Linked DNA regions of Saccharomyces cerevisiae S288C. The gene in region 2 interacts genetically with the main gene of each other region. Each region holds a gene or a part of one and is shown on either strand. Other genes may lie near its edges.

Evidence for each region. Genes that interact genetically often act in the same process or in processes that back each other up.
Region 1: mutations in HNT3 (region 2) and SSP120 impair growth when combined (synthetic growth defect), as found in Saccharomyces cerevisiae (one large-scale study listed by BioGRID).

Annotation. Positions count from the first base shown.
Region 1 is NC_001144.5:638,738-642,671, reverse strand, and holds SSP120 (nucleobindin SSP120), read right to left. Parts: upstream 2,356-3,934; coding exon 1,651-2,355; downstream 1-1,650. Other genes in the region: CQD2 (Cqd2p), read right to left, coding at 1-45; SYM1 (ethanol metabolism protein), read right to left, coding at 615-1,208; YEF3 (translation elongation factor EF-3), read right to left, coding at 2,758-3,934.
Region 2 is NC_001147.6:809,751-815,058, forward strand, and holds HNT3 (DNA 5'-adenosine monophosphate hydrolase), read left to right. Parts: upstream 1-1,920; coding exon 1,921-2,574; downstream 2,575-5,308. Other genes in the region: TRE2 (putative zinc metalloprotease), read right to left, coding at 1-933; CDC31 (centrin), read left to right, coding at 1,258-1,743; proteasome regulatory particle base subunit RPT4, read right to left, coding at 2,645-3,958; GCD1 (translation initiation factor eIF2B subunit gamma), read left to right, coding at 4,234-5,308. UniProt on the Saccharomyces cerevisiae protein: DNA-binding protein involved in single-strand DNA break repair, double-strand DNA break repair and base excision repair.

The DNA.
Region 1 (3,934 bases), on a different chromosome or scaffold from region 2:
GAATACCTCAAACGGTAGTTTGTTAAAAAAAGCTTTGGTCATCATCTACTATCAACACCGAATAAGAAACATTCAACTATAATCTTGCTCCGTTTCAGGCTCAATAAACTTTCAGACTGATTCTTTCCAGTTACGAAGGTAGGAGTACAATATGCATACATAACGCAGCGATTTACAAGATATGTTCCTCGGGTCTATGTTTTGACCTCTTTTAACGGCATATGAAAAAACCTTTGAAAAAATGAAATATTATATAAAGGTCCAGAACCCACAGTGGTACTAAAAGGCCCACTTAAGTCTCACACCTAATTAAACACCTTTGCATAAACGGTAGCTGAAGAACAACAGGCATGACCGCAATAGTGAAATGTTAGCTACTATTTCCTCTATAAAAGAAGTACGAATGTAATTAAATAAATTGTTCCTGACCAAGCACATCTGTAAAGGAAAAGCAGATTGCTAGCCAACTTTGGTGACTCAAATATTTATGAAGTTGGTCTGCTCTCTGCCGAAAGTCTATTAGGTATATGCTGTTCCAGTACCCCAAGGAACAAGGTCTGATAAATATGCTAGTTGAATTCCAAATATTTTCAAAATCAGGATTTCTTATCCAGTTATTCGACCACGGGTGGATAATGAACAGGTACCTTGTCTTTCTCCATAACCTTTGAGTTTTTATAAGATAAGTAAGTGTTCCAAAATATTGCAACGACATTAACAGCTAGTAACCTATGTTGTAAAGGAACAACAGAAAAGTTAATCGCTTGGAAAAGTGGCCAAACTGCCCAATTAGTCAAAAGTGTAGGCCACCATTGCTCTTTTATTTTCAACTTAGCTACGTCAAATGATCTACCTTCCATGATGGACATACAGGTGAAATAAAATGGCAAACCTAGCGGCGCAAACGCCAATTGATCGACAGCTACCCGTAAAACCATATTAGACCAGTGGTACTGAGGTCTGTTACGCATATAAATCTTGTTGTTCAAGATCTTGTACCACTTGTCACCTATAAAGGAGAAAATTAAAGAACCATAGATGACAGCCCTAGCTGTCCTTTTATAATCATAACCCTTGTTTACTTTGGATGTTGGAAACAACAATTGAGCAGAAACATCACCAATTCCAAATAGCGCACCTGTCATTATCGCATTCGTAGTTTTGGGCCTTCTCTTCAAGCTCGCTTCATATAAATGCAATAACTTCATACTGTTTTAATATCAATTCTATCTTTCCTATAGTAATAACAAAAGACTGTGTTTGCCTTTTCCCTTTTGTAAGGCTAAATATGACAACATAGCATTCAAATAGCTCTTCTATCATATCACTATCATAGATATTTCCATTTTTTTTTTTTTTTCACTTTGTACTTATACTGTTAAAGTTCGACATTTAAGGGACAAGGAGGTGCCACTGTTTCCCGAAACGCTTCTTGTTACCATCGGAGAGAAAAGACCAATACATACGTAATTAGAACATAGAAAATAGAACGTTTAAAGTAGATAGTTAATCACAAAGGAGAGGCATCACAACGATGCGATGGTAAAAATATATTTTAAGTGCTTTGATTACTTACTACATGCTAATTGACTACATACATAGTGTCTTGAATATTTTCTCAGTCTCAACTATTCATCTTGACCAAGTCCATTAAAAAATTCCATTTTTGAATTTCTCGGGAATATTTTTCAGCTCTATTCTAGACTCTAGTTCGTCATCAGTTATTACAGTAGCTCTAGAAGCGCCTCTTTGAATTTCTTCTTCATGTTCAATTTCATGTTCATGATGAAGCAATTCATGTTCTATGTCTTCTTTGTGAACGACTTTAACGTCTGGATCTTTGTCCTTATGAAACTTATTCCAGTGATGAATTTCATATTCTAGCTCAAAATCGGAGTGGTGACCTACACCAACGCCAAGGTCAGGGAACTTGTTTCCTCTCTTAGCAAATTGTAGATATTCCTCCTTGGTGATTTTGGTATTATCATCAACATCCAATAACCTCATAATAAGGCTAACAACACGCTTAGCCATTTCATTGTCAATTTTCTCAGATTCATCGTGTTGTCCCATACCATCACCAGCCCCCACAATTTCTTCACGGTTCAACCCGTAGAGAGATAGAATATCGTTTTCATCTAAAAATCCTTTCTTCTTGATATCATGTAACGCGAAGAAAGTCTCTGGAGTGTAATCTTTTAGCTGATGCTCATGGTCCATATGCCACTCCTCCCAGGATAAACCATCAGGTGGTGCCTCATTTTCCACATTAATTTCAGATCCTATTTCTGCCGTGGCAGTTACTTTATATAGAGTGAAAGCCAAAGAAAATACAAATCCCCTCAAAAACCTCATTTCCACAATTTTAATAGAACAGGGATGAAAAAATTTTAGGTCTTGGCTCTTTTATCTTTTCTAGAAGGAATATAATATTACGCTCAATCATGTTTTAAAGCTTCCTAGTCTATGATCCGTCACCTATTTTTATTCTTCCAAAAAAATATTTTCGTTACCCTCTTACCGAAAAGGGTATGAGGCAATGCTCAATTTGCCTGAGCTTAAGAATGTATGAAAAAAAAAGATGTCTGACTAATGGAACGCTTTTTCTTTTAAATAATGCCTTTCTTTATAATAAGGAAGTTGCGTCTATATTTTACCAAAATAAACAATATTACAAAAACATAGAAATTAAAATATACATAAATTATTGATCAATAAAAATCTTAAAGAAAACTGTGAAAGCAGTGATCAAAAAGATTAGAATTCTTCGTCAGAAGAAACGTAAGCATCACCCAATTCCTTCTTCTTCTTCATTCTTTCCTTCTTCTTCTTTCTCAATTCCGCAGAAGACAACTTCTTCTTCTTCTTACCACCGGCAATCTTGTTACCCATAGCATCGAATTTATCTTCTTCGTCTTCCTTCTTTTCGATTCTTGGACCAGCACCTTGACCACTAACCCAGTTGTGACCAGATGGAGTCATTCTACCGTCCTTGACGGCCCAGACTTCTTCAGTCAAGTTCTTTGTGAATTCAGCAGAGTGAGTAATGATAATAACACCACCTTCAAATTCCTTCAAAGCCTTAGACAAAGCACCCAAAGAATCTCTGTCCAGATAGTTGGTAGGTTCATCTAAGACAATCAAGTGAGGTCTTTGCCATGTACCGGCAGCTAAGACCAACTTAACCTTTTGACCACCAGACAAACCTCTAATTCTGGAGTGAGAAACAATTTCTGGGTCCAAACCCAACATGGAACAATGTTCTTCAATTTCTTTTCTGGTTAATGGACGGAATTGACCAGAAGCCAAAGCTTCCTTCATATCAACTTCAGCAACCATCTTAGAGTGAGATTCAACCAATTCACCTCTTGGAATCCAAGCGTTGTCGACGGACATCATTGGAACCCATCTTTCAGATTTCATACCAATGTTTTCACCCAATAAGAAAGAACATTCATATTCGTAAGTGTTCTTGAACTTTCTTCTGGAGTGGATACCGGCAATTCTTCTAGGGGTACCTTCAATCTTGAAGATCTTGTTCATAGCTTCAGCATCGTTTTCGTTGATTTGTCTGTTAGCTCTGTCCATGGTTTCTCTATCTTCACCGGTTTGGAATCTCCATTGGATATATTCAGATGGAGTCTTGTCCAAATGAGATTCGATATGAGCAAAAGCGTGTTGCTTAATGTAAGCGATACGACAATTTTCGTGGGTGTAGACTTCACCAGAGGTTGGTAATAGTTCACCAGTCAAGACGTTAATCAAAGTAGACTTACCAGCACCATTTGGACCAATGACAGCAATTCTGGAAGACAAAGAACATTGGAAGTTAATGTCAGTGATTTGTGGCTTAGAGGTACCTGGATATTGGAATTCCATGTTGGTAACCTTGACAATAGCCTTTTGCTTAGTCTTAACACCTTCCAAGTAACCT
Region 2 (5,308 bases):
TCCGAATTTCTCAGCAATTAGTACTTGCTGACTCACTAATTTATCATATTGCAGTAAAAGCACATAGTCCTTCCCATCTTCTATCGTTTTCGAATCTTTTAAATGTTGTAAATCGTATGTTGTACCTTTGCCTCCATAAATCAAGCTCACTTTGGATAATTTCCCGTTAGAACTCAACGGATTGAAATTTTCTTTAGAAAGTTCTAGATCATGCTTTTCATTCTTGTTATCATAATATGAAATTGATACATTGCCTGGATAATTAGAATAAACTGAGTATCCCATTTCTTTAACCAATTTCAACCCATTGTTGTCAAAAGATTCCTGAATGTATCGATAAATAGCTGCATCACCCTTCGTTCCGGATCCATGAGGCATGCTACTAATATATTCCAAATCTCTCTCAAACTTTGCCAAATCCACGGATTTTTTGGCATATTCAAAAAGTATATCGTGTTGAGAAAACATCCCTTTAGATCCTGATGCCTTTTCGTTGAATAAGTAGCCACTTGACAAGACATAATATGCAATAAATGACATGAAAATGATGTAAAAGAACCTTCGAAGTATAAAGGGATTTCCGATTTTACTTAAGTAATAGTCAGCTTTGTCTGGAACGAATTTTGATATTTGTAAGAGTGGATGAATGATGTTTTCCATTAAGGGTTCCAAAATTTTTTCCTGAAACCCAATTGAAACCCTCTGTAGATGTGTTCTTTTGTGAAGATCATCGTGAGGGTCCTCTATATCAAATTCATAAGAAGGTGGTTCAGGTGGAGGCGTTATATTAGTTTCTATACTGTTGTCGTTAGAACTAGGAGGAGAATCATCAAAACGCTGGCTCATCAACAGATTATGGGACGACGACGCAGTAGGTATAGCATTTTCATGTTCAAAGTTTGTAGTTGACACTGGTTGATAACTGCTCCTCATTAAAATTACTTGATCTCAATACCCGGGGGTATTATCTTGGTTTGCAAATTAGTTACAGATTTCAAATAACCCAAAGCTTGATGTATTTCTCTAGTATTGAGAGGCGTTTAGGAAAAGAACAACTTTAATGATGCAGGAAGTACTTGCTTAACTAGTTCTTGCCTGATGCCGTAATTTTATCTACTAAATTTCCAAGAGTTTTGGAGGCTTAACTATTGCGAAATAGAGAGAAAAAAAGAAGAATCCTAATTAGTAAGTATGGAAGAGATTTATTAAACGAGAAAGGAAGTGAACCAAAGAAGAAACGGAAATAAATCATACAGTATGAGTAAGAACAGGTCATCGCTACAGTCTGGTCCACTTAATAGCGAGTTATTGGAGGAGCAAAAGCAAGAAATATATGAGGCGTTTTCATTGTTCGATATGAACAATGATGGGTTCCTCGATTACCACGAGTTGAAAGTAGCAATGAAGGCCCTGGGATTTGAGCTACCCAAGAGAGAAATACTTGACTTAATAGATGAATATGATAGTGAGGGGCGGCATTTGATGAAGTATGATGATTTTTATATTGTAATGGGGGAAAAAATATTGAAGAGAGATCCGTTAGATGAAATAAAAAGGGCATTCCAATTATTTGATGACGACCATACTGGGAAAATAAGTATTAAAAACTTGAGGCGTGTAGCTAAAGAATTAGGAGAAACTTTGACGGATGAAGAGCTGAGAGCGATGATTGAAGAGTTTGATTTGGATGGTGATGGCGAGATTAATGAAAACGAATTTATAGCTATTTGCACCGATAGTTAATTATGACTATATATTTAATCTATAAAAATGATTTGTAACTATATTAGTATACTCCCGTGGGTCTCTCGTTTTCTGTTTTAACTTACATCTTGCCCAAGGATGCACTTAAAAGTGAAAAAGCCAATCTAATCCTGCAGGGCAACAATAAGAGAAGACAATAAAACAAAACACTGAAAAATGTCATGGAGGTATGCGTTAAAAAACTACGTTACCAGCCCAGAAACGGTAAACGATGATACAGTCACATACTTTGATGATAAAGTGTCCATAATTAGAGACTCGTTTCCTAAATCAGAGTGCCATTTATTGATTCTACCACGAACTATGCAGCTGAGTAGAAGTCATCCTACTAAAGTGATTGATGCTAAGTTTAAGAATGAGTTTGAATCATACGTTAATTCTGCGATTGACCACATCTTTAGGCATTTTCAAGAAAAGTTCCGAATAAAGAAGAGTGATGATGACAAAGACCCCTGCTGGGATGACATATTAAAAGACAAAAACAAGTTTGTAAGAAATTTTGTACAAGTTGGGATACACAGCGTGCCTTCGATGGCCAACTTACATATACACGTCATATCCAAAGATTTCCATTCGGTAAGATTGAAGAACAAAAAACATTATAATTCATTTAATACTGGATTCTTCATTAGTTGGGACGATTTACCATTGAACGGAAAAAATTTGGGCACTGACAAGGAAATTGAAACTACGTACCTGAAAGAACACGATTTACTTTGCTGCTATTGTCAGCGAAATTTTAGTAATAAATTTAGCTTATTGAAAAAGCATTTAGAACTAGAGTTCAATAGCCATTTCGAGCTTAAATAAGGCAAGCTTTCTCGCATTTCTTTTTGTTACTGATATACACATACCTATACATACACATGTCTTTTTAACATCATAATTTTTGGTATTCTATAGTGCCTTCCAATTTCTTAACTTCAGCTACTTTTCTTACGGCTTTCATTAAATCATCAGGGTTGATGTGATCACGGTCATCTCTTATGGCGAAAAAACCTGCTTCAGTTGCACAGTTACGAATATCAGCACCATTGAAACCATCACTCATTTTTACAGCAGCCTCGAAGTCAAATTCCCCTGTTTTTTTGACTTTTGCAGTATGAATTTTGAAAATTTCTAATCTGCCGGCCTCATTTGGCAATGGGATTTCAACTTTCCTGTCTAGTCTACCGGGCCTCAACAAAGCAGGATCTAAAGTATCTGGTCTATTCGTAGCCATGATGATTTTAGTCTGTCCAAGATTATCAAAACCATCCATCTGGGTCAACAACTCCATCAACGTACGTTGAATTTCACGGTCTGCTGAAGTACCTTCACTGAATCTTCTACCACCAATAGCATCCACTTCATCCATAAAAATGATGCAAGGTTCGTGTTCCTTTGCATATGCAAACATTTCTCTAATAATACGAGCAGACTCACCAATGTATTTATCCACAATACCAGACGCTGGAGAGAAAATGAAGTTGGCTCCAATCGTAGCAGCAACTGCCTTCGCTAGTAAAGTTTTACCAGTACCAGGGGGACCATATAGTAGCACACCCTTTGGAGGTTTGATACCGACCCTCTGGAAAATTTCTGGGTTCTTCAATGGTAATTCTATAACCTCCCTTAATTCTCTGATTTGCTCAGTCAAACCACCAATACCATCAAAAGTGATTTCACCTTGTTCAAAACTGGTCATATTATACACCAGTGGATCTGTCTCTCTGGGCAAAATTCTCATTATAGTCAAAGTGGTGATATCTAAGGTGACTCTCACCCCTTTCTTTAATTTAGAGCGATCTACCGAATTCCTAACTCCGACAATATAACGTGGGCCCGAAGAGGCCTTCACTATATATTTCTCTTCAGATAATTCCTTCATGACTTCGCCAATCAATTGTCCAATACTTTGCAAAGCTTTTATGTCGTTTTCAGTCTTGTCATATAACTTCTCTAGATCTCGTATATTTTGACGGCGCTGCTTCAATTGATCATCATACCTTCTGTGTTCTAGCAGCTTTCTCTTGAATTGATTCAAGGCCTTGTTATGGGCCTCCTGTTCAGGATCCACTCTAGAAGGCTCCTCTTCATGATGTTCTTCCGTTTCCTGTGGTTGTTCTGGTTGTTGTTCGTGTGACTGTTGGGTGTGATTGTCGCCGGACGTTTCCCCCAATCCTGCTAATAAAGGGTCCTGTTCTTCACTCATTCTTAGTTATTAATATCTTTGCTTCGTCTGTTATCTTTGGAACCGGTGCGAGGTACTAGATTTAATTTACTTCACTATGGTATTTCAAGCTTCCTTTCCCTTCGGTGGCAAATTCCACTATTTGAAAGGTCACCCGCCTATCGCAAAATTTTTCACTTCTCATCACTATATTGAAATATAACAATCAAGCACTTTACGATGCAACAGAAAATGCTGAACGCTGTGCTGACCAAAAGTTCCCACCGTTGATAGCTCCCCCCCCTATTGTCGTAGTCATGTCAATTCAGGCTTTTGTCTTTTGCGGTAAAGGTTCCAATTTGGCTCCCTTCACCCAGCCAGATTTTCCATTCCAAACGCAGAACAAAGACAGTACAGCTGCCACGAGCGGTGACAAACTTAATGAGTTGGTCAATAGCGCCCTCGATTCAACTGTCATAAATGAGTTCATGCAACATTCAACGCGCTTGCCCAAGGCTCTTTTGCCCATCGGTAATAGACCTATGATTGAATACGTCTTGGATTGGTGTGATCAGGCAGATTTCAAAGAAATCAGTGTGGTCGCACCCGTTGACGAAATCGAATTAATTGAAAGTGGACTGACTTCGTTTTTGTCCCTAAGAAAGCAACAATTTGAACTAATATACAAGGCTTTGTCAAATTCCAACCACAGTCATCACTTGCAAGATCCTAAGAAAATTAATTTCATCCCTTCGAAGGCAAATTCTACAGGTGAGTCCTTGCAAAAAGAGCTTTTGCCTAGAATCAATGGCGATTTTGTAATCTTGCCCTGTGATTTTGTCACAGATATACCTCCACAAGTCTTGGTCGATCAATTTAGGAATAGGGATGATAATAACCTAGCAATGACTATCTACTATAAGAACTCTTTAGATAGTAGTATCGATAAAAAGCAACAGCAAAAGCAAAAACAACAGCAATTTTTCACTGTTTATTCAGAAAACGAAGACTCAGAGAGGCAGCCAATACTTTTGGACGTTTATTCTCAAAGGGACGTCACAAAGACAAAATATCTACAGATCAGATCTCATTTATTATGGAACTATCCAAATTTAACAGTATCCACTAAGTTACTGAACTCATTCATCTACTTTTGTTCCTTTGAACTTTGCCAGTTGTTAAAATTAGGACCTCAATCAATGTCAAGACAAGCTTCATTCAAAGATCCATTTACTGGAAACCAACAACAGCAAAACCCTCCTACTACTGATGATGATGAAGATCGCAATCATGATGATGACGATGATTACAAACCTTCGGCTACATCTATCCAGCCTACCTACTTCAAAAAAAAGAATGATCTCATCTTGGACCCAATAAACTGTAATAAAT